Solanum lycopersicum: one gene and its partners. The main gene of each other region encodes a partner of the protein of the gene in region 5 in a complex. Links are inferred from orthologs where the notes say so. Each region holds a gene or a part of one and is shown on either strand. Other genes may lie near its edges.

Region 1 (3,187 bases), on a different chromosome or scaffold from region 5:
AAATCTTAAATCACCATATGTTGACCAAGTCAAATTACTGGTTGATAAAGTCTAATTAATATCTAAGCCAAAATTGTATGACTTAAATCAAGTCCAAATCATTTGGATCATTCCATTAAGTTGACAAGATGAGCCCAACTCATGTTCTTCAGGCCCAGGGATCAAAATTGCTCAGACCAAAATACCCTAAAGCCCTAACTCAAGCCTATATAAAGAGGTATTCTTCTGACCAAAAGGACAAAAAAAAATACATATACACAGGAATACATAATTGCTTTTCAGCATATAAAGAAGTCTTCGCTCCAAGGGTTGAGCCGCAAGTATTCCGCCAAATCAATAACATCTGTGAAGAGAAGAATCAGGGGATTAAATATCTTTTTGAGATATTTTATAAAGATTGTAACCTTAGTATTAATTCAAATACAAATATTATTGTTTGCTTGCTATTTTTCCTTTCCTGTATATTGTATTTCAGGATTGAAACTTTAGACGCATACACTGAGATTTGGATCATCCAAGGTACATTAACATGGCGTACTCCACCCCTGGTACCCTTTGATCATTCTTCAATTATATTTGGCGTTGCATTTACACAGTTGATGAATACCTCCACGCTAGGATGTAAATTGATCATTGATGCATCGCCAGTTGGATTTCCTTTCAAATAGCTTGTGCTATACAGTGATTGAAAGAACCTGTGCTTGGTTTTTCCACATCAACATGGGTGCATTTGATATCACATTTCATATGGTCGAGTTGTTAAAGTATCATTATCTTAAATTCTTCGAAGTCAATTGTTAAGGTTTTTAGCATTGATCAACCCATTAATTTTTAAGTTATAAGTTTACATTTACTATCTATTGCAATTTTGATGAATTTTTACACATAAATTTATATTTCGCATTAAAAGTACTGAGTTCAGATAAACTCGGTATCAATACATTAGATCCGCCTCATCCATCAAGGATTCAAGTTTGTGCTGTTGTTACATACAGATATTTATGACATGGTAAACTTGTGAAAAATTTGCAAGAACAATTAGTAAAAATTATCAATGTGGATATAGTCAAATTTTAGCCCCACATATGAAGCACAGCTCATTTAGTTGTAGTTGAAAGAGACATAAAAGCCCATTTGGACCTTGGCAGGAAAGGTCATCCTCACATTTAATTTGCATCTTATCCTATTGAGCAAGAAAAAATGATGGAAAAAAAAGTGATTGTATTAGGAGAAAAAATAAACATGTTAAGCAAAAATCTAGTGATTTTTGTCCACAAAAATGGCAGCTACTTCACTCTCATTGAATCTTGGGCTTCCATCACCAGCAGCCAACAATTTGAATAGGCATGGCTTACACAACATTATTACATGTTCGGCATCAGAAAACACGTCCCCTAATCAACAGAGTAAGAAAATTTCATATCGATCAATTATGAAGTCATGTTTGCATTTACGCCATTTTCTCCGTGGTAAAATTCTACTAGTATCTCTGTTTCAGGATGCTTGATGAGAAGGTCATATCTATTAGGAGCAGGGGCTCTTTCGTTGGGTTTATTATTACCCGCGACTCCCCTTCTAGCTCAAGGTACTCTGTTACTATAATTTTTATTCTCTAAACTTTTTACTTTTTATAATTAAATGACGTGTATGCAGGAGTACCGGAGAACTATGAAATCTTTGTTGACAAACGAGATGGTTATTCGTATTACTATCCATCAGATTGGAGGGTATGTTGCTTCTTTTTTTTTTAAGAAATGAATTTTTAGAAATTAGTAAACTCTCATTTTGACTTTGGATGTATGTACAGGAATTCGATTTCAGAGGTCATGATTCTGCATTTAAAGATAGGTATCTACAACTGCAAAATGTAAGACTTAGTTTTATACCAACTGATAAAACAGATATCCATGATTTGGGGCCAATGCAAGAGGTAAATCGCGGTACTATTCATCTATGTAGCCGTTTTTTATTAAGCTATCAAGGAGGAGAAAAATATAAAAAAGACATGTATTTTCTTCGTCATACCAACTTATTTCTACTTTCCTAAAGGTTGTGCCCGATCTGGTAAAACATGTTTACTCTGCACCGAATCAGGTGGCAAATATAATGGAAATGAAGGAGGTATGATCCTTTCTTATTCTCTTGATTGTACAATATACGTAGCTCTTTTTCAATTAGTCACCATATTTTTGTTCAAAATTATGTAGAGAACTACGGATGGGAAAAACTATTTCACCTTTGAATATGTATTGACATCTCCAAATTTTTCGCGGGCAGCATTTGCTACTATAGCAATTGCAAATGGTAAGTGATCTGGTTTGTTTCCTTTAACTGTACATTACATTTTTCTGCATTCGTATTAAGACATTTCGTACAGGGAGATACTACACATTAATCGTGGGAGCGAATGAAAGGCGATGGAGAAAATTCCGCAACAAACTTAAAGTGGTGGCTGATTCATTTCAGGTGTTGGACATTTAGAATTGTTCTAAGAGCTGCAATGATAGAGTCTTGTTCCATGAAACAGGATTTGCAATTTGTTTATTGAATTACAGTACAAAGAATGTTTCTGGCTATCCCATAAGTAACTGAAATCCCCTTGTAGTTGAAGCGGTGAAGTGTTAACGACAAATTTTAAAGTGATGGAAAATAAAGCACAAATAAAGTACGGCATGATACATATCTAATCTTGGTTTCAAATTTTAACTTTGACCTCCAACGTTCATAGTAAACAAACAAACACTTCAATTATCTAACCCTTTAATAAATAAACACGCGAGTCGTACCTGGCAAACATGTAATGTGCATGTATTTTGTGCGAGTTAGGAGTAGTAATTTTTGAGGTCCACAATGGTAAAAAAATGCTGAAATAACAACTCCACCATTAATGAATCCCTTTTATATATTTTTTTATATTTCCAAATCAAAATTCATTTAAATTTTTTTTAAATTCTAAAATGGACGCATAAAATATTTAATTAGTTGGCAGTCATTGAGTGGCTCACTAATATACGTGGGAGCATTTGCATTTCACTCTCTTTGTCTCCAAAAATCGTGTGTTTATTTATTTAATGGTATGATAGTTTAAGTGTCTATTTGTGCACTATTAAAGTTGGAGGTCAAAGTCAAAATTTGAAGTCAAGTTTAGGGTCCAATATATGTATTATGCCTATAAAATATGATGAAA
Region 2 (3,943 bases), on a different chromosome or scaffold from region 5:
ACACAATTCACTCAATTTAACATGATTTCTACCTAATTTAAACTACTACTGTGAAACATTAACTCTTTAAATTAGTCAATTTTATATCTGAAATCGAATTTAAACATTTCTGTATATGAATACAGAGCAATGGAAGAAGGAATATATATAGAAAGTGAGATAAGTTAGAACTTACAGCGGTGTTATCGCCGGAAAGGATTTGACCGGAGTTGGCTCGTCGGAGAAGAACTTCGCCGGAGGAACTTGCCGGAGAGTGTGTAATTTGAACTTCGGTCCCAAAATGCGTGAAAATTTTGGGCTCGCATGGGTCCGTTTTAGAAGAAGTTTGGGCCTGTAAGTGAAGCCCATTGGGCTTATAGTTCATTATATGCAATACGATTACTCGAACGGGGCGGAATTGATCAATCTACATTTTCAATTCCGATTTTTCTTTCCACGAGCGTATCTACAGAATAAAGAGAGCAAATAAATGGACTTTGGTCATATTTACTCGACGTGCGGTCATTTCTTCCTTGAACATTCCGTTACGGAAATTGAATCAAGAAGAAATATGACTTTATGAGATACTAATAATTATTAGAACATGTTTTAATTGACTTATTTTAGGTGTATTTAAACAGTTTCATAGCATTCATGTAAAATATTAAGTATTTTTAAACACTTGATGCTACGACAAAATAACAAAAATAAGTCAAAACTCATATATTAAACACTTGATGCTACGACAAAATAACAAAAATAAGTCAAAACTCATATATTAATCTTTACTTATGTCACTTTGCTTATATAAGACATAAACAAGTATAGTTAAATAAGTTCTTAGTTCATTGACCATATAAAAAAAATACAAGTGTAACAAATAGGAGAATCGAGTTATAGATACAAAGAGATTGAAAATGAGTCAAGTAAAATAGATAAATTATCCAGCTCACTCGTATTTGATTCTTTCTTCAAAATAATTAGGTTGAAAGTCAGTGACAGAGCTAAGATTTTAAGTAACAAATTCGAAAAATAAAAATATCATAGGAATTTATAATTTTGGGAAAAACATAAAAAGGAAAAAAAGAAAAGAAAAGAGGGGAGAATTACAATCTTACCCTCAATTGAGATATCCTTCTAGTGGCCAATAGTCATCAAGATTTTCATCAAATGGATAATAATATTATAACTTTTTTTGAAAGTGCAAAAAATAGGCTATCATTTTTGTTCATAGTTTCAACACCAAAAAATTATGGCAAACACAACAAATTTAAACATTATATTTGAAGCTCTTCCCCTCATTCCCAAGATTGAAAAAATTCAGAAAAAAGCAAAAACAATAAGCCAAAAAAATAAAGAAATTCAAGAAAATTCACCACCAAAAATTACAAGAAGATTAGCATTAAGCATTGGTTCAATTGCTTTATTTGCAAATTCAAGAATTGATATTTCACTTGCTGAAGATAATAATGGATTTTTTATTACTGGTCCACTACAAGACCCTTCAATATCCACCAGTAAGTTTTTATTTTCTATATTTTTTTTTATCACGTCGCGTTTAACAGCCACTAACACTTGCATTTATAGATATTCCCAATTCATCTAATGCGAAATGTTTTATGTACCAGACTACATTAACAAAGTTCATGTATAGCACGAATATGAAATGGGTGAACCCCACATGTCCAAATTATTCGAGTAAAAAAATTTGAATTCGATGTAAAATTACCTTTATACACTACGAAAAAGCTGTGAATACATGGGGATTTTCCTTGGAATTAGTATAAAAATTCACCATAAACTTATTTTCCTATAAATTTTCATACTAATTCTCAGAAAAATCCCCATCATAGCTCATAGATAAGTGTGAAATTAGCCGAATCAGAATATTTCGCTGAAGCAGAAATGATAGGATCGTAAGAAGAAAAAGTCTATACGCCTATCCGTATTATGTAATTTACAGTTTTCTTGTAGTGATGTCGGACCCCATTTGGTGTCAAAGGGTAAAAAATTGAGCTTTTTTCGCGCATTTAAGTTTAAGATATCAAGAATCGAGTCGATCGTCCATAATTTTAATATGTTAGATAAAAGTTTTTGTAATATTTGATTGTAGATATTATAAACAAGGAGACAGGTACAAGATCATTTCTTAAGAAAGGAATGTACATTGCTAATATTGGAACAAAAGGGAGAATTCATAGGTTGAAAAGATATGCATTTGATTTATTGGCATTAGGGGATTTGATTGGAACAGATTCTTGGAATTATGTGAGGAAATATTTGAGGATTAAATCTACATTTATGTATTATGATTTTGATGAAGTTATCACAGCTGCACAAGTGAATGATAAGCAACCTCTCACTGATCTTGCTAATCGATTATTTGATAACGTTGAGAAGGTACATTTGATTTTATTTGTCTGATATTATATGTTGCTCGTATCCTTCAAAAATATTGTCCCAAATGTGTTCAAAAAATATATATAGATTTGAAGAGTCTGAGCAATATATGATTGATATTAGTTTGGTTAAACCCTACAAAAATTTTGTCGTATCAGTGTCACATCCTTGAAAAATGCATGTTTTCTTGAGGATGCGGTACACAATGTGATGTCAATAGTGTTTTTGAAGAGTCTGAGCAATATATATACACATATATAGGCTTGATGTTATGTTAATTGGACCATCTAAAAATGTTGTTGTACCTGTTATGTCGGATCCATTGCATAGCTTTTGGAGGATCCTCGATTGACGGACATATATAGAAGCACTTTTGAAGAATCCGAGCGACATAGGTTTGATAACTATGTTGGTCGAATCCTCCAAAAATACTGTTGTGCCCATGTGGAATCCTCCAAAATCTTACACACAAAAACTGTGACAATATTATTGAAGAGTCTGAGCAACATATGTCTGATACAATATTGATCGGACCCTCCAAAAATATTGTTGTGCTCGTATCAGATCCTCCAAAAATCTTAGCACATGCTCTGGCAATATTATTGAAGTCCGAGCAATATAAGTCTGGTGTTGTGTTCCTCTGACACTTCAAAAATATTGTCGGATCCTTACAAAAATGTATAGATTTTGTAGAATACGACACACATTATGATTGGTGACCGTCAATATTTTTGAAAAGTCTGAACAACGTAATTATAAATAGCAAAGTTTTTGATCATGTGTTTGCTCCAATATTTTTTTTTATGCAGCTTGAAGATGCTGTGAAGAAAAAGAACCTGCCTCAAACACAATCATGTTATCAAGAAACAACTACTATTCTCCAACAAGTCATGGACAGAATGGCATAAACAAAACATATGTTTTAATTATATTCTGTTAATTAGTCATTTTGACTACAAGAAGACAAAATGTTCCTTCGTAAATTTTGGAATTGTCAATAACACTTTGATGGAGATTCAATTTGATTTCCACATTTTTATAATAGAGACAACTCGGTGCATGAAGCATCTCGAGTCCATACATGACCTATGGAACGATGGAAGGATTACAATCCAAGACTTATTTCAGGTTCGAACATGTAACTAATAGGTCAAACAAAGATAACTATAACTTTTTAGCAGCATTCAAACATAATGAAATATTACCAAACAAAGATAACTATACCGTACCATCGTAGCAAAATTTTTATACATGACCCGTGGAACGGGGGAAGGGCCATAATCCAAGACTTATTTCAGGTTCGAACATGTGACTTATAGATCACACAAAGATAATTATAATGTTTTAGCAAAATTCAAACATAATGAAATATTATCAAATAAAGATAACTATACCGTTTTAGCAAAATTCAAATATGATGAAATATTACCAAACAAAGATAAATATACCGTTTTAACAAAATTCAAATATAATGAAATATTATCGAAAAAAATTAAAATGGAGATGCGGGGTATCGATCCCCGTACCTCTCGCATGCTAAGCGAGCGCTCTACCATCTGAGCTA
Region 3 (4,155 bases), on a different chromosome or scaffold from region 5:
AACTCCTTAGACAATATATCTGGACCTCAACACGACATAGACGCATATTTCTGTAAACAGGGCAAACTCCCACTACGTTGTAATCATCTTGAAGCACATCAACGCAAAACCAAATCTGCTATCCCCAGGTTCCTCCACTTGATATCCACCACATCGATTAAGTCTATAACTAGGCAACTTGCTATACTTTCTAATTGACGGATTCCATATAAACAAGTCATGCAATTTGTTACATAGGCAACACAAATCAATCTGTTTACCGAACCCACCAGCCAAGGATAGTCTTTGGAAATTTTACCTGGATAATCCAAGTCAATTACCTCCTTTACAGAATGGCGATGTAAATCACTACACATAACTAGCCAACATAAATAGCAACCTTAAACATAACTCCTTGTTACTAGCACAAAATAAGAGATGCGTCTTCACAAATTTAGGGATAGAGATTAAGGAAAGCCAAGATTTCGACACAGACCTGAATTGTAAAAGGGATTTCACCGGAAGCCTTAACAAAACTAAATCTTTGCTTGAAATGGACTGAATTTCCATGGGTTTGCTCCGCTTTGGGAGGCTTCGTCCTCTTTGGATTCCATTTGGGTTTTGCAGAAATGGGAAATCTTTGAGGTTTCGATAGGGAGATTACTATATAAAAAGCCCTAAAGTTTGTCTTTTTTATTTTCCCTCTTACAACAGAGCTGGTTTTAGTTTTTATGTTTTAATACTATATAAATAATATTTTCACTGGTAATTTATATTTTAAAATCATTATATATTGAGTGTTGGTTATATTTTGTTATCTTAAACAACTTATGTCTTATAAGGTATAAATTTATTTTCAAAATATGATGCAGGAATCAAAGCACCATAGTACGTGTTCTAGTTAAAGGAAGGAGATATATGTGCTCCAATTATTTTTGGAGTTCTGTTATGTGTTTCAAAAGTTTTACTAGTAATTATTGTGAAACATTGTCTTTTTTAGATGTTAATGGTCGTATCACAATTCATATTTTATCTGTGGTGAACGTTCTTACTCCTTATGAATTTTACAATGAATACTTAACTTTGTTTTATTTTAAAAATTCAAAATATAAAAGAATAAAAATTAATTTATTTGAAGGACAACTTATGCAATTAAATAGGATGTTTGGAAATTTCATAATCTTTACTTGGATTTTGGATTTTCAATCCAAAATATATAAATTAGGTTTAAGTTTGGCTTTTGTTCTTTTCTAAATCACAAAATTATTTCATTAAAAAAGTTACAATAGAGTTTGAACTCTCACCTTATGATTATTATTCTAGCTATGTTTGAATATACAATATAAAATTAAAATTTGAATAACTAATTTGAGATTATGTTATCTCAAATTTTAAATTCTCCCCAAAACATCATTTCAATTTTTAAAATATAGAACTTATCCCATAAATTTATATAGCTAATATTATTATGCATATTTAAATATTTGTTATTTGTAATTTCTTTATTGTAAAGTTTATCAGCACATTTATTGAGTGGCAAGGAACAAAGTAGTCATCTTTGTCCAAGTTTGCAATGGTCCTTCCACAGTCTCTGTTGCTATAGCTGCCTACTGCCACCACTCACACACTGCCACCAAAATACCCAAATGACAACTCTCTCCTACACCTTCCCTAGCACCACCAGCAGCAGCAGCAGCACTAGGAGGTTCTTGATTACTAGCAATGGGTCTTCTTGCCGGCGGCGCCCCAATATTTCCACTGAAGACCAACCCTGTTCCTCTTCAGGTCATCCCCAATAACCCCTTTCTCTGTGTGTGTGCGCAGTGTGAAGATTTATAATGCTTAATTGATATTATGGGTTGTTACAATATCTTGATATTAGGGTGATCACTAAAAAAGTGAAAAGATCAAGACTTTGTAATAATATTGCATCTGTGTGAGGTGGGGTGTTAATTTTTATTTTTTTTTAAAAAAAAGGGGTTCATATTGGTGGTTAAGGCTTGAGCACCTCCTACCTTTGAGGTAGTTTAGATAGGCCTAAAACTTAATTTTACATGGTATGAGTACCAGGTTCATTCCCGGTGTGAGCTTTTGGTTCTCGCTCTCAAGGGGCCTAAGCGTGAAGGAGGGTGTATGGTTTTGCGATTGAGTTAGGTCCGGATGACAATATCTTTACGGACTTGATAACTTAATGGTTGATTCAAGCTTGTTAAATGTAAATATTAAGTTATGTAGGGAGTGGAAGTATGCATTTTACTTAATAATGTTTTGAAGTTGTGTACAAATTCAGCTTCAACTCACATTTGTTCCCAATTTTCAGCTTTATGGTTCAATATCATGGTGTGTGTGTGTGTGTGTGTGAAGATGTATAACGTTTAGTTGCTATTATGTGTTGTTATAATATCTTGATATTAGGGGGATGGTTAAAGAACTGAAAAGATCAAGACTTAACTTAATGGACTATTCAATCTTGTTAAATGTGAATATTTAGTTGAGTAGGGAGTGATATGTACACTTTACTTAATTCTGTTTTTAAGCTATGGTTTGGGTGTGTAGAGATTCAGCTTCTACTCGCATTTGTTCCCAATTTTCAGATTTATAGTTCAATATCACGGTGTGCGTGTGTGTGAAGACGTATGCTTAGTTGCTATTATGTGTTGTTACAAAATTAGGGTGATGGTTAAAGAACTAAAAAGATCAAGACTTGATATCATAATGGGTGATTCCAGCTTGTTATATGTAAATATTAGTGGGGTAGGTAGTGAAAGTGTACATTTACTTAATTATGTTTTGAAGTTTTGTTTTTTGGGTGAGTAGAGATTCAGCTCCAACTCACATTTGTTCCCGATTGTTATTGTTTTACATGGTATGAAATCCAGACTTTCCCTAATATTGGTCTATAAAGCTGAAAATGTTTGTGCTTACTGTTATGCACTGTCACATTAAGCAGTGCATTGGCAATGTTTCTAGCCATTGTTGACAATGGTAAAAACTGACTTCTGGTTCTCGAGTTTCACAGGTTGCTTACAGTAGGCACCCTTTCAGTTCTCCCTGTAACATAATCTTATCAGTTCTCTTTGGAAAATGACTTATTTATAACTTTTTCTACCTTTTACATGTGGAAATGCACACTTGCAGCACCAAAATGATACTGTTATCCTGTTCGCATTAATTAAATTTTGAGAGTGATGTCTTAACGTTCAATGTTTTTCATTATGATGCCTTTGTTCTTTCGGTCATGTACCATGAAATCTGAATTAAAATGGCAAAATGCAGCCTGTTATCAAGGGGCAGTGCAGTCTTATGGTCTGCAGAAGCAACGAGTACAATTAAATGGCATATCAAAGGCTGTGAGAACGAGAAGACTTGATTCAGTTGGAAGACAAAAGAAAGGAGCAATTAGATGTAACATTGAACTTCAGGACTTCATAGGTGGAGATCTCATTAAACCTGATTTGGGTCAATGGTTATCAGATGTGGAAGAACACAAAGCCATAGCAATTTACTCTCCTCATGAAGGGGGCTATGAAGGACGCTACCTTACACGTCTTAAGTACCAGGGATATCATTTCTTGGACCTTTCGGCTCGTGGCCTCGGTGACCCTGAAACCACTCTTACCAAATTCCACCCTGTCTGCCCTGTAAGTTTAGCAGTTCGCATACGATATGCTTATTCTCAAACACTAACTTGCAGTGTCTAATTGACTCTCATCTGCAAATTTTGATGTTGCAGGCTCATGTTGGTAAGCAACCAATAGCTAGATGGTATTTTCCTCCAGAAGTTGATTATAGGCTTTCTTTACTTCCTCCGGATGCTAAAGGATTAGTGGTTTGGATAATAGAAGCCAAGGTTAAATCCACCCCTTCAAGTGTACATCATCTAATTAGTCCATCAGCAGTATTTTGACTAGATCTTTGTTAACTGTTTGACCTAAAATGTTCAGGTCTTATCAAAGGCAGAGCTGCAGTTTCTTGCTTTACTCCCGACACTTCGTCCTAATGTGAGGGTCATTGCAGAGTGTGGTAACTGGTAAGATTTTCCTTTCATCTTCCTTTTTCTTGTTTATCAATCAACTCTCTTGTAAATAAGGAAACTTTGAGATCTTGTCGTTGTGGTTAAAACAACATTGTATGCAAAAGCTACCTGGATTTACTTCAGTTTAGCCTTCTGTGGTC
Region 4 (3,780 bases), on a different chromosome or scaffold from region 5:
TTTTATTAGTAATTTATATTTCACTAATATTTTCAAGATGTATTTTTACGCATGTCATAATTCAACGAGTAGCATTATTACTAATTTATAAGTACTTATTTTTTCGCTTAAAGTTTGATCAAGTATTTTTTGTATTTAAAATATTTAATCAAACAAACTATTAACGACCCTTATACTAATAGGGATTACAAAAGAATTCTAATTATTTCTTTTTTTCAGTTAAGTTATAATTCGTTTATATAATTTTATCATCCCAATCCATTCATTTCTCATCTATTATTTTTTGTAAATTAAAGGTGTTGCTTTAATTTGTAAAGCAATTATTATTAGTCCAACTATGTGGGAGCTAGAGACATTAGATATTTTAGCTGTAAAGCAATTATTCATGCACAATCAATAATGTATTATTTTTGCCTAAATTGCTTTATATCTCTTTATTTATGAAGATAATTTATTGATGATTTGATTTGTTATATCAAAAACTAAATAACATGTATTTCATAATTTTAAAGAAGATATAATTTGTTCACAAAAATACTCTCCAGTCATTATAACAAAAATAATCATTAATTGTCGTTAAATATGTATTTTTAGCGGCAATTGACACTCTTTGTATATGTCCATAAAATATTTAGCAACATTGGTTCTAATGATACTTAACTAATGCCGGTAAAGACTTTCGCACTCTTTATCAATGTCAATATTTAATGCCGCCAAAAATTATTTTTGTTGTAGTGTAGAAAAATAACATCATAGACTTCAAGGGTGTTTCTGTCAGTTTCATTATTTTATTTTGGGATAACTAATCCTGATACCATTACTCTGCTCTATGACGGTGATAACTTATTTCAGGAGTGTATAGTTGAAAAATTCAGCATAATTTAAATGGTTTTTAGTGTCTAATCTCAATGTTGAACTCAAATTTGTTTTGATACGAGAATTGAATGCCTCAAGGGAAAAACATAAGAAATTTGTTCGATTGATAGAAGATTGATCCCAACCCGTCAATGAAATAGGGCTACTAGTGTTCAGTCTTGATTGATTCCGAAAAAATGCGAACCAAGTAAAACTAGTTTCAAATTGAACAAGGCCAACCCTAAGTTAAACAAATTCCAAAATTGGGCCAACTAGAACAAAGCCTCTTACACCATTGACCCAACAACACCAAAATTTATTGGGAAAAAAAGAGGATAAAATATTTGCCAAGTCACCAAAACCTAAGGTCCATTTTGGATTTAGGGAAATCAATTAATATCCATCCAAAACACACACAAAAACCATCAAACACTCCTTAGATTTTTTTTTTCAACACAAAAATGACCACTTTCACAAATCCTACAACTTTGTTCCATCCAAAAACCAAAATAACCAAAACTCATCACACACAATGCAAGACACTACCCAAAATCCAATCTAACTTATCAACTAATGAACAAAACTTCTCATGTAGACGCAAACTCATCGCGACTTTTCTAGTCACTCCATTGACACTAGGCCTACAATTCACCCCTTTAGCATTAGCTGAAAATTGGGGCGTTCGATCATTCTTAAGAGAACATTTCTTTGAGCCTGGATTGTCCCCTGAAGATGCAGTAGCACGAATTCGTCAAACAGCAGATGGACTACATAGTATTAAAGAGATGTTGGAGACTAACTCATGGAGGTATGTATTGTTTTATATACGACTTAAATCAGCTTATCTTAAACAGGACGTGAAGAATGCCTTATCCAGGGTGCCTGAAAGTCGAAAAGAGTCTTATATTAAAACTGTCAATGAGCTTACTGATAACATGGCTGAGGTAACTAACTGTCCTTATTTTCCCTGTTCAGAATTTTTCGAGGTTCTATTCAGTGTTATGGATATTTCTATGTATTTTCTTCGTCTGCAGTTTGATTACTACATTCGAACACCAAAGGTATATGAATCTCGTGTATTCTATGAGAAGACGTTGAAATCAATTGATGAATTGGTGGGATTACTTGCATAATAATATCATCAGGCTCAAAGGTGAGTGAATGTTGTAGCAGAAAAATCGCGTTGGTTTAACAAATAAACTGATCGAAAAACGTTGAAATTATATACAATTTTATGTTCATTTATAAGCTTGGTCTGCGAGTTGATGAAATTGGAATCAAGATTACATACGAGTTTATGAGAGAATAACTATTAGTTGAATAAACGTGATATTTGAAGATGAAAACATTGAAGTAAGGAGGAAATCTTTTCATTATGTGATACAACTGATGAAAATCTTGATACAATGAAATGCAACTGATGAAACTAACATTTACAAACACAATACACACACAAAGGCTAGCAATTGCTAGTGTAGCCAACATCTTCAGCGCCTTGATAAAGCGATAGATGACAAAATTATAAGTATAACCATCAAGGCCATTGCACCAAAAGAACCGATAAGGGATCCAGCAGAACGTTGACAGAAATCTGTATACTGTTGGCATATCGAAAACCAGTTAGTTGAAGTGTTGCCATTGTGTGCCAAATACACAATCGCGGCTGCTGCTGATGCTCCAGATGTGAGGAAAACCAGCATTATCTTCAAAAGTTTTCGCAAAGTATAAAAGATATCAGTACAACATCATAACAAAGTACTAAATATGAAAACTTTAGCAGAAATCTAATGTATTACCGCGTCTAGAACAATGAGCAAAACTCTGCTCTTTCCTGCTCTACTTCTGATAATGTGAAAGATTGAAATAGTGATAGAAAGTGCAAGATATACACAAACTATAGAATTCGAAACCACGAAGAACCTTCAATCAGAATAAGCAAAACAAAAAAATGTGTTAGTTAACCTTTATACTGTTCTATTTCATGTAATAATATGTTTGCAGTTTTGCTTACTTGAACGAGTCGATATCATCATACTGAGCTTCAAAATTTACAATCTGTGTACTGAATGGAAGTGCTTGATCTGCAGTACCCATTGCCACAGCACTTGCTAAGGTTCCAACAAGTGCAACGATACGTAAAACAAGATCAAATACAGAGATTCCTCTGTTCACTCCATGAACTCTTTTGGCCTTTGATCCCTCTCCAGTTTCAATTGATACTGCCTTCATTTTTTCCTTTTAGCTCAAACTTTGAAACTAGAATGAAATTTTGTTGTTATGATTTGTATGTCAAGTGTGATGCGAATTTATACTAACAAGTGAACCAAATCATGTAACAGAGTTACAAATAGTATTAGGTTTTGATGACACATAATTAGTTGTTGCTTTTGCTTATTTAATCAATGAAATGTACAACTTTCTGGTTCATGATATTCCATAAAGTAGTTAAGTCTTGCATTAACTTGCTACACTTTTTACCTGCTCTACTTTCTTCCTAACATGTATTTTGAAAATGTATTTTTTCTCGAGAAAATGTATCATTATATACGAGAAATCGCGATATTAAAACAGCACACGACACGTTGCAATCCATTTGAGAAGGGTAGTATGTATGCATACGTCACTTTTAACTTTATGGAATTGAGAGGTTGTTCCCGATAAAAACTTCAACATTCTTTGTCCTATCTTTTTTTTCTTTTTTAATGTTTTGCAAACACACTTTATGATCATTGATTTATTATATTAGGTCAATTGATAATATACTAATAACAATGGTTATGGTCCTAAATGGTTTTTTGGATTAGGCACAAAGTTCTACTTGAACATAAGAATCAAACATGAGAAATTAGAATACTAGAAAGTAAAATAATGAATAGGTTGACTTTTTGATTAACAATGAGAAATAAAATAAAGAACAAGTTTATG
Region 5 (4,086 bases):
TTCTCCTCCGTCATGGATTCCGGCTTCACCCCGGTCAACGGTTCGTGAAAATCTTTCTGGTACAGATAATCTTCGATCTGCATCTTCCAGAAACTGAAATCGGATCCATCAAACTTCTTGATTCCAAGCTTCGAACTATCCATCTTCTGTGATCGTGTTGAATCTCCTTAGCTCTGATACCAGTTGTTAGGATCGATTCACGCACACACACTAGATGATTGAAGAACACAAGAACTTTCAAGAGAAAGAGATGAGAAATCTAGAGAGAGAGAGAGAAAACTCAATATTTCGTGGTAAAACCCCGTGAGTAAACTTCTACGACGGTGAGGTATATTTATATTAATAAATCAGAGTATTTTTGGTTACAAAGAATAAATAGGAAAACCTAAAATTAATCAGGCTCCACTACCTAACACTTATTTACATAAGCTTGTACTCTTACCACAATCATAGTCTACTTGATACATTGTACTCTTTATAACATTATATATATATAGAAGGCTTCAACGTGGAGCTCATCATGGGAGAATATTATTATACACAGGTAATAGATGATTTCAAACTAAAATGTTCAATTTTATAAAAAATAAAAAGTAATATTGAAAAACAAAGGTAAAATGTCTTATTTTTGTTCGACTTCAATAACTAAAATATTAATATTATTTTGTCACACTTCAAATACATGTTCATTTTTTGGAGTTTTAGAAACTAAACCTAATGAATCCTTTTTTAGAAAACACGATTTTTGAACAAATAAAACAAAACTCACATCAAAATTGGGAGTACTCAAACATCAACTTCATTGAAAAATATATTGAGAAGACCTAGAATTTCATTCCTTTCTCGTCAGATTAAAAGAGGAGAAAACAAGAGGAGAAAAAGAAAATAAAAAAAATAAGTCAAGTTTAGAGTTTTCGAACTTTTAATGGCAAAGAAAAAACACAAAATTGAAAGTTTTTTTCATTTTATTTGTTTGGAAGATGAAGAGTCACATTCTAGATCTACAAATATAGAGAGAGTATTTGAATGTTTATTTAAAAAGAAGTGGAGTATATTTGATTGAGAGTGAAACGTAAAGTGGTCAATTTATATTTTTATTCATGTAGTACTAATTATTCAAGTATAACTTATTTCATCTCGAACTCGCATAAAATAATTCATGGATTGACTCATAACTTATACATGTATTACTTCAATAGTTTTCTAATTTTCTAATGAAACATAGAATTATGTGTGTTAAAACATTATATCTTGACATAAAAGAGCTATCAAATATAGTATAACTTATGTAACGTAACTCAATCCTTATCCAGTAACCAAACGATCTCGCACTTTAAACCATGGTAAAAATTAGGCTATTTCCTAATATTATACTCTAGTAACAACTTTTTTACCATTTGTAATGGATATGTTTACCTAATCGGTCTATACAAGAGGGTTGAGGCTCGTCATCTCCGTCACACACCATCTTTGTCCCTCATTTTCACCAACCACACACACTCTCTCTCTCTATCTCTATTGCAGTTCAACTCGCCGTACCGGAGAACTGAAATCGGCAACTATGGCAGCTACATTTGCTTCAGTGGTGAGTTTCTTTAACCTCTCAATAATTTGCAGTTGAGCTTTGTTGTTCAGTGTTGCCTTCTAATTTGTAGTAATAACACTAATTTTTGGAAATAGAGCGTTGTTGTTGTTGTTGTTGTTGTTTTAGTTGACTAACGTTTCTCCGTTTACAGTCGAATTTAGGCTCAATTTCAGTTCCACGAGTTGCGAACCCTACATATGCTGCTTATCCGAAGTTGCTGAAATCTTCATTCTCATCGTCAAGCTTATTTGGTGGTTCGTTGCGTCTGGACACTTCTTCAAACCGTTCGGTTCACAAAAAAACCGGCGGTTCATCTGGTTCTATTCAAGCCGCGGTGGAGGTCTGTGCTCGCTCGCTGAGCTAATTTATTAGTGATTGCTCTACTGTTTGTGTGTTTCTTCTTTGATTTCGCCGAAAATTTGATGATTGAGTCAATATGTCTAGCGTTGAGCTAGTAAATATGCGTTCTAGGGTTTCTGTGAGGAATAACTTTTCTGTTTAAGTTCTAGAGCTAAATGTAAGGGATAAGTAGATGAATACATTGGTTGCAGATGGCATGTGTGGCTGAGTGTTACTTCGTTGTCTCATTTTATGTGAGAATATGTTAAATTAGGTTTGTATATAGTATTGGTGATGCTAGAAGAAACTATGAACAACTTTTGGAAAAAAAGTTTATATCGAAGGTTGTGAAAAGAGAAATTTTAGTTCTTCATAATATTTGTGAGTGGAACAAGGACTTTTAATACTTACAACTTGTGAAATTGGTATAAAAATATAGAGATGTCAAATATGACCCAAAATGAGAAGACTGTCATATAATGCAGTGTTTTCTTTTGTTAAGTAGCAAAGTTAATTGTGGAAGCGGATTTTTAAGTCTTGGAGCATTGATTAGAATGGCTGTGGTTCAGTTTTCAGCAAACATGGTGTTATGTTGCCTTTTGTATGGGACTAATGTTCCATAATTTGTTCATTACTTGGTTGAAGTTTTTAATAGATCTGAATGTATTTATTGAAATCCAGGTGGCGGATTTGCAATCCAAAGTGACAAACAAAGTTTATTTTGATATTAGCATTGGGAATCCTGTTGGAAAACTTGCTGGGCGAATTGTAATTGGATTATATGGTGATGATGTGCCACAGACAGCTGAAAATTTCCGTGCACTCTGCACAGGTTCTTTAATAGATTTTATGTTATTAATATTATTGTCGTCGATATTCTTATGACTAGTGCTGCTATCACTACTACCTTTATTGCAGTTTTTGTTCTCATTATCATTATTGCTATAATATTCTGCCTTGTTGCTTGAGCTTCATGCATATAATTCTTTCTATCATTTATGTTTAGCTTATAGTTTGGATTGATTTCTTCCGATCAGGTGAGAAGGGCTTTGGCTTCAAGGATTCTGCATTTCACCGTGTTATTAAAGATTTCATGATTCAAGGGGGTGATTTCGACAAGGGAAATGTAGGTGTCTCAACACCTGGTTTGCTTTCTCTTTCTTTCTTTTTTTTTTCTATTTGTTCCTCTAATTGGCATTCTTCTTGACACACACATCCTTCACCCAGTTCATTGTATTTTCTGTAGTACACTTGGTGTGTTTTGGGTGCTTATCTTTTAGCCTTTTATTTTGCTTGTTTCACCTTGAGCAAGATTTTAAATTAACAGAAATGCAAAATTCTGAATTAGTTCTTTGCCTAGTGTTTTCTTGTTCCTGTTTGGTGGTTTATCCTTCATCTTTTGGATCCTCCATGGCTCCAATTTCTACCATGGAAAACCAGAGAAGAAAAGGTTGTTTTTCAGTTTGTTTCGGTTCTGTGTTTGTGAGACTTCCCTGATGCTTGTAGCAACGTAAGATCTCTGTATTCTAAATTATCAATTTTCATGGTATAAACTTTTTTTCAAAAATAAGTAATGAACTTGCATGATGTAACTTTGCTTGTTCTATGTTTCTGAATGGGATGTCTTCTTTGATTAGTAGTTGAATGTGTGAAAGAGTACATGAGCTAAGATGCTCAGTGGAATATGTACTACTGCCATATTCAATAATTCTGTTTAAGTGGAATGTGTTATTGCACACAACTTGACTGCTCCAATATTTAATATGCATAGATTGATTGAAGAGTGTTCTAGTGTTTGCAGTTCATAATTTGGAAAATTTTCACTTGCCATTCTGGCATATTGTAATCTTCCCCCCATGGATTTAATTTTTTATTCGCAGGGAACCGGTGGTAAAAGCATATATGGTCGTACCTTCAAGGATGAAAACTTCAAGTGTAAGTTGGATTTTCTTCTTAAAAATTGGTTTCAAACTTCTCCTTGTGGTTAAGGCAATGGACCCCTTTGGTTCAGATTGTCAATTGTGTTCAATGTTCTTTTGTGATGAAAAATCCTTGTGTAATTGCAGTGGTTCATACCGGACCTGGGATTGTTAGCATGGCTAATGCAGGGCCTAATACCAACGGAAGCCAATTCTTCATTTGCACTGTAAAGGTATGTGGAA
Region 6 (2,845 bases), on a different chromosome or scaffold from region 5:
TTATAAAATTTTGGTCCATCTGTTTGAGAATCTGTCAAAATCTTGCAGTTTGCACCATTGTATACTCTCTCTCAGGCTAGCTATCATTATTGAACTTATCTACATCGATATCGACCTGTTGTCCAATTGGATGGAGTCTAAGATCCACCATATGTGGTGTCAGAGGTACCTCATGCTTGTGAAAAGTAAGAATTGTTTTATCACTCACTGTTAAATACTGTATGTTGTTGTTCTGCTAGACTCTCTCTTTGCTCGATAAAACGTGTGATATTTCAGATCCTCATTACTGATGGTATCTAATGATCTATGAATTGATCAGAAGAACATGCTAGGATTCATTACTTAAACAAAACTAGATCTTGTGCAATCATATTAAATATTTGACTATATGTTTTGCAAGTGGTTTGAATTACCTGATTCTTATTTTTTACGTTGTTTTTGTTAAGAGTTCTTTCGAACATCACTGCTAAGAGTTGAACTTCTCATTTGGGACAGAACTCTTCCTGCACAAAAGTTTTTCTGCATTTCTTATTACATGCCATTGCCATTACAAAACTTACAGCTTGTATGTACAACAACCCAAAAGACAAAAGAACAAACAATCTACTCAAAAACTGAAGCAATTCAAGCTTCAGAGCTCTTTTCTACCATCTTCTCAAGTATCACAGACTTAAGATTCACCATTGGCGGTCCTTTCTCTCTACGTTCGAGTTCTTCGAGCCTGAAAGATATCAACCTATCCCAGTTCCCACCTTCAAAAAGCACAGCAGCCTTACCATCAGTAATCCTCTGCACAATCCCACAATACATATAATATGGATTATTAGAATTCTTGACAATAGCAATCATCCCAGGTAACAAAAGTGGCAATTCAGGTGGCTTTGGTTTCTTCACAAGACTTTGATTAAAACCAGAAACCATACTTGATTCTGTTTTCTTGGGTGGTGGTGGTGGTGGATTTTTCTCTATAAATTTCATTAGACCCTTCTCACCTCCCGGAAATCCGCCAGTAAACCCCATCATTTCTTTCTCAAATCCGTCCTCCGGTATCTCCCCAGTCTCCTTGTTTTCTTGATTATCATCATCACTAGCTGCTGCTGCTGCTGATCCTACTGCCTTTTGTTCTTCGGAAATCGACTTTTTTAGCTCTTTCTCTATACCCTCTTCTCCATTACACAGACCTCTACCTCCAAGAATCTCATAAAGATTGAATTTTGCTATTGGTGTAACTGAGTTTGAAGATGATTTCATAGCTGATTTGGTATGAACACTACTACTGAGGTTGAGATTGACAGATTGACCAAGAAAGTTTGATTTTTTAAGAGGTGGGGTTTGAATTTGAAGGCTTGAGAGTTGAAAGGAAGAAGCAGAAGCCATGGTTTTGATTTTTTTTCAAGAACTTTGGATTTGGGAAAGATGATGGTAGAGGATGAGATGAGAAGTAGAAATGGGAAACTGTAATTTGTCCTTTCAAATTCTGACCACCAATCTGTTTTTGTTTTGATATCTTCTATTGACAAATGAAACACATGAATGATGTTATCTTCCTTGGAAAAAGATTAAACTTGCACTCATGTTTTACACCATCCTTTCAAAAAGAATCAGGACCACACGTGAGGAATTGCGTTAAAAGTAAATTATAATTTTTATATTCATTTATGAAATTACACGAGATATATTATGTTTTTCTTTAATAATTTAAGATTTTTTTAAAAAATGATCATATGATTTAACTTGATGATCAGAGTATATAGAGGTATTAGATTCGCGCTATGTTGCTATTTGTTATCAAAAGGAATTTCTAAAAGTCAGGACCACACATGTGAAAGGGGTCTTGTAGAAGATATAGTTGATTAAATAAGAGGGCGTTTGAATTGATTTAAAAGTCAGTTATTTTTATTTTTGGAAGTGTTCGATAAATATAAAAAATAACTTAGAGTAAGTAAAAAATGGCTTAAAATAAGTCAGAAAGTGTTTGACAAAGTTAAAAATAACTTTAAAATGACTTAAAATAAGTTTAAAATCAAAAGTAGGTCTTCCTCTGCCTTTTATTTTTTAACTTATAAATCATTTAAGTTTGACATTTTATTTTTGATTTAAAAGTTACTTTTTAAGTTCATCTAAATAGCCTCTAAAGTTGTTTTTTTAAAGACGTAATTTTTCACAAATTGCAAACATAAAAATCATATTTGTATGTTGTAAATATAGTTTGCATAATTGCGTTCCATAATAAATTTTATGTTTGCTATGGAGTTTTTGATTTGTATAATTCGCTAGATACATCCAATTTTATTCAGATTGTTCAGTTTTGTATAAATTCATTTATAAATTGTAATTTGTATAATAAGATCTAGATTTATATAATCATAAGTATATAGAACGAATATATATATATATATATGTGTGTGTATGTATGTATGTATGTATGTATGTATTTGTATATAATCTTTTCTCTCGTTTCATACAAACACAAACACATTTTATACATTCTATATCGAAATATATAAAATGTCTAATTATATATCGGAAATGACTAATTGTATAGCGAATCAGATTACAAAAGAATGGAATGTTTGTGACAAATTACAAACAAAATAAATCATAGCTATATTATTTAATTTGAATAACATATTTTGCTATTTCATACCATTTTTCTTTAATACATTATTAAACACAATTTAGAGATAATAAGTATTGATAAAAGGTGTATATAGTGTACACATTGAATTTGCATAAATTGGAGCGTAAATTATTCCTATCAATAGCCAGAATGGGGACGAAAAGAATTCTTTTTTGTCTCTATAGGATTCATTAAATATTTGATAATAAATTCAATAATTAATAT

Evidence for each region.
Region 1: photosynthetic NDH subunit of lumenal location 5, chloroplastic (region 5) and photosynthetic NDH subunit of lumenal location 1, chloroplastic share a complex: the UniProt entries of both Arabidopsis thaliana proteins name them as parts of the chloroplast NDH complex. The link is inferred for Solanum lycopersicum from reciprocal best matches to the Arabidopsis thaliana genes Pnsl5 and PnsL1.
Region 2: photosynthetic NDH subunit of lumenal location 5, chloroplastic (region 5) and photosynthetic NDH subunit of lumenal location 3, chloroplastic share a complex: the UniProt entries of both Arabidopsis thaliana proteins name them as parts of the chloroplast NDH complex. The link is inferred for Solanum lycopersicum from reciprocal best matches to the Arabidopsis thaliana genes Pnsl5 and PnsL3.
Region 3: photosynthetic NDH subunit of lumenal location 5, chloroplastic (region 5) and NAD(P)H-quinone oxidoreductase subunit N, chloroplastic share a complex: the UniProt entries of both Arabidopsis thaliana proteins name them as parts of the chloroplast NDH complex. The link is inferred for Solanum lycopersicum from reciprocal best matches to the Arabidopsis thaliana genes Pnsl5 and NdhN.
Region 4: photosynthetic NDH subunit of lumenal location 5, chloroplastic (region 5) and photosynthetic NDH subunit of lumenal location 2, chloroplastic share a complex: the UniProt entries of both Arabidopsis thaliana proteins name them as parts of the chloroplast NDH complex. The link is inferred for Solanum lycopersicum from reciprocal best matches to the Arabidopsis thaliana genes Pnsl5 and PnsL2.
Region 6: photosynthetic NDH subunit of lumenal location 5, chloroplastic (region 5) and NAD(P)H-quinone oxidoreductase subunit S, chloroplastic share a complex: the UniProt entries of both Arabidopsis thaliana proteins name them as parts of the chloroplast NDH complex. The link is inferred for Solanum lycopersicum from reciprocal best matches to the Arabidopsis thaliana genes Pnsl5 and NdhS.

What each region holds. Positions count from the first base shown.
Region 1 is NC_090809.1:53,937,044-53,940,230, forward strand, and holds photosynthetic NDH subunit of lumenal location 1, chloroplastic, read left to right. Parts: upstream 1-1,132; 5' UTR 1,133-1,279; coding exon 1,280-1,406; intron 1,407-1,484; exon of another isoform or gene 1,485-1,498; coding exon 1,499-1,585; intron 1,586-1,653; coding exon 1,654-1,727; intron 1,728-1,807; coding exon 1,808-1,930; intron 1,931-2,049; coding exon 2,050-2,121; intron 2,122-2,207; coding exon 2,208-2,304; intron 2,305-2,377; coding exon 2,378-2,481; 3' UTR 2,482-2,687; downstream 2,688-3,187. UniProt on the Arabidopsis thaliana protein: NDH shuttles electrons from NAD(P)H:plastoquinone, via FMN and iron-sulfur (Fe-S) centers, to quinones in the photosynthetic chain and possibly in a chloroplast respiratory chain.
Region 2 is NC_090809.1:1,367,796-1,371,738, forward strand, and holds photosynthetic NDH subunit of lumenal location 3, chloroplastic, read left to right. Parts: upstream 1-1,149; 5' UTR 1,150-1,231; coding exon 1,232-1,496; intron 1,497-2,092; coding exon 2,093-2,379; intron 2,380-3,188; coding exon 3,189-3,287; 3' UTR 3,288-3,443; downstream 3,444-3,943. UniProt on the Arabidopsis thaliana protein: NDH shuttles electrons from NAD(P)H:plastoquinone, via FMN and iron-sulfur (Fe-S) centers, to quinones in the photosynthetic chain and possibly in a chloroplast respiratory chain.
Region 3 is NC_090808.1:66,282,323-66,286,477, forward strand, and holds the start of NAD(P)H-quinone oxidoreductase subunit N, chloroplastic, read left to right. Parts: upstream 1-1,355; 5' UTR 1,356-1,625; coding exon 1,626-1,764; intron 1,765-3,255; coding exon 3,256-3,620; intron 3,621-3,712; coding exon 3,713-3,829; intron 3,830-3,923; coding exon 3,924-4,009; intron 4,010-4,155. UniProt on the Arabidopsis thaliana protein: NDH shuttles electrons from NAD(P)H:plastoquinone, via FMN and iron-sulfur (Fe-S) centers, to quinones in the photosynthetic chain and possibly in a chloroplast respiratory chain.
Region 4 is NC_090804.1:2,507,900-2,511,679, forward strand, and holds photosynthetic NDH subunit of lumenal location 2, chloroplastic, read left to right. Parts: upstream 1-1,275; 5' UTR 1,276-1,316; coding exon 1,317-1,799; intron 1,800-1,889; coding exon 1,890-1,988; 3' UTR 1,989-2,008; exon of another isoform or gene 2,009-2,103; intron 2,104-2,203; exon of another isoform or gene 2,204-2,342; coding exon of another isoform or gene 2,343-2,558; intron 2,559-2,651; coding exon of another isoform or gene 2,652-2,775; intron 2,776-2,866; coding exon of another isoform or gene 2,867-3,084; 3' UTR 3,085-3,280; downstream 3,281-3,780. Other genes in the region: casparian strip membrane protein 2, read right to left, coding at 2,343-2,558, 2,652-2,775, 2,867-3,084. UniProt on the Arabidopsis thaliana protein: NDH shuttles electrons from NAD(P)H:plastoquinone, via FMN and iron-sulfur (Fe-S) centers, to quinones in the photosynthetic chain and possibly in a chloroplast respiratory chain.
Region 5 is NC_090800.1:5,016,534-5,020,619, forward strand, and holds the start of photosynthetic NDH subunit of lumenal location 5, chloroplastic, read left to right. Parts: upstream 1-1,286; 5' UTR 1,287-1,561; coding exon 1,562-1,585; intron 1,586-1,736; coding exon 1,737-1,925; intron 1,926-2,605; coding exon 2,606-2,756; intron 2,757-2,961; coding exon 2,962-3,050; intron 3,051-3,804; coding exon 3,805-3,859; intron 3,860-3,990; coding exon 3,991-4,076; intron 4,077-4,086. UniProt on the Arabidopsis thaliana protein: NDH shuttles electrons from NAD(P)H:plastoquinone, via FMN and iron-sulfur (Fe-S) centers, to quinones in the photosynthetic chain and possibly in a chloroplast respiratory chain.
Region 6 is NC_090807.1:67,427,465-67,430,309, forward strand, and holds NAD(P)H-quinone oxidoreductase subunit S, chloroplastic, read right to left. Parts: upstream 1,378-2,845; coding exon 625-1,377; 3' UTR 501-624; downstream 1-500. UniProt on the Arabidopsis thaliana protein: NDH shuttles electrons from NAD(P)H:plastoquinone, via FMN and iron-sulfur (Fe-S) centers, to quinones in the photosynthetic chain and possibly in a chloroplast respiratory chain.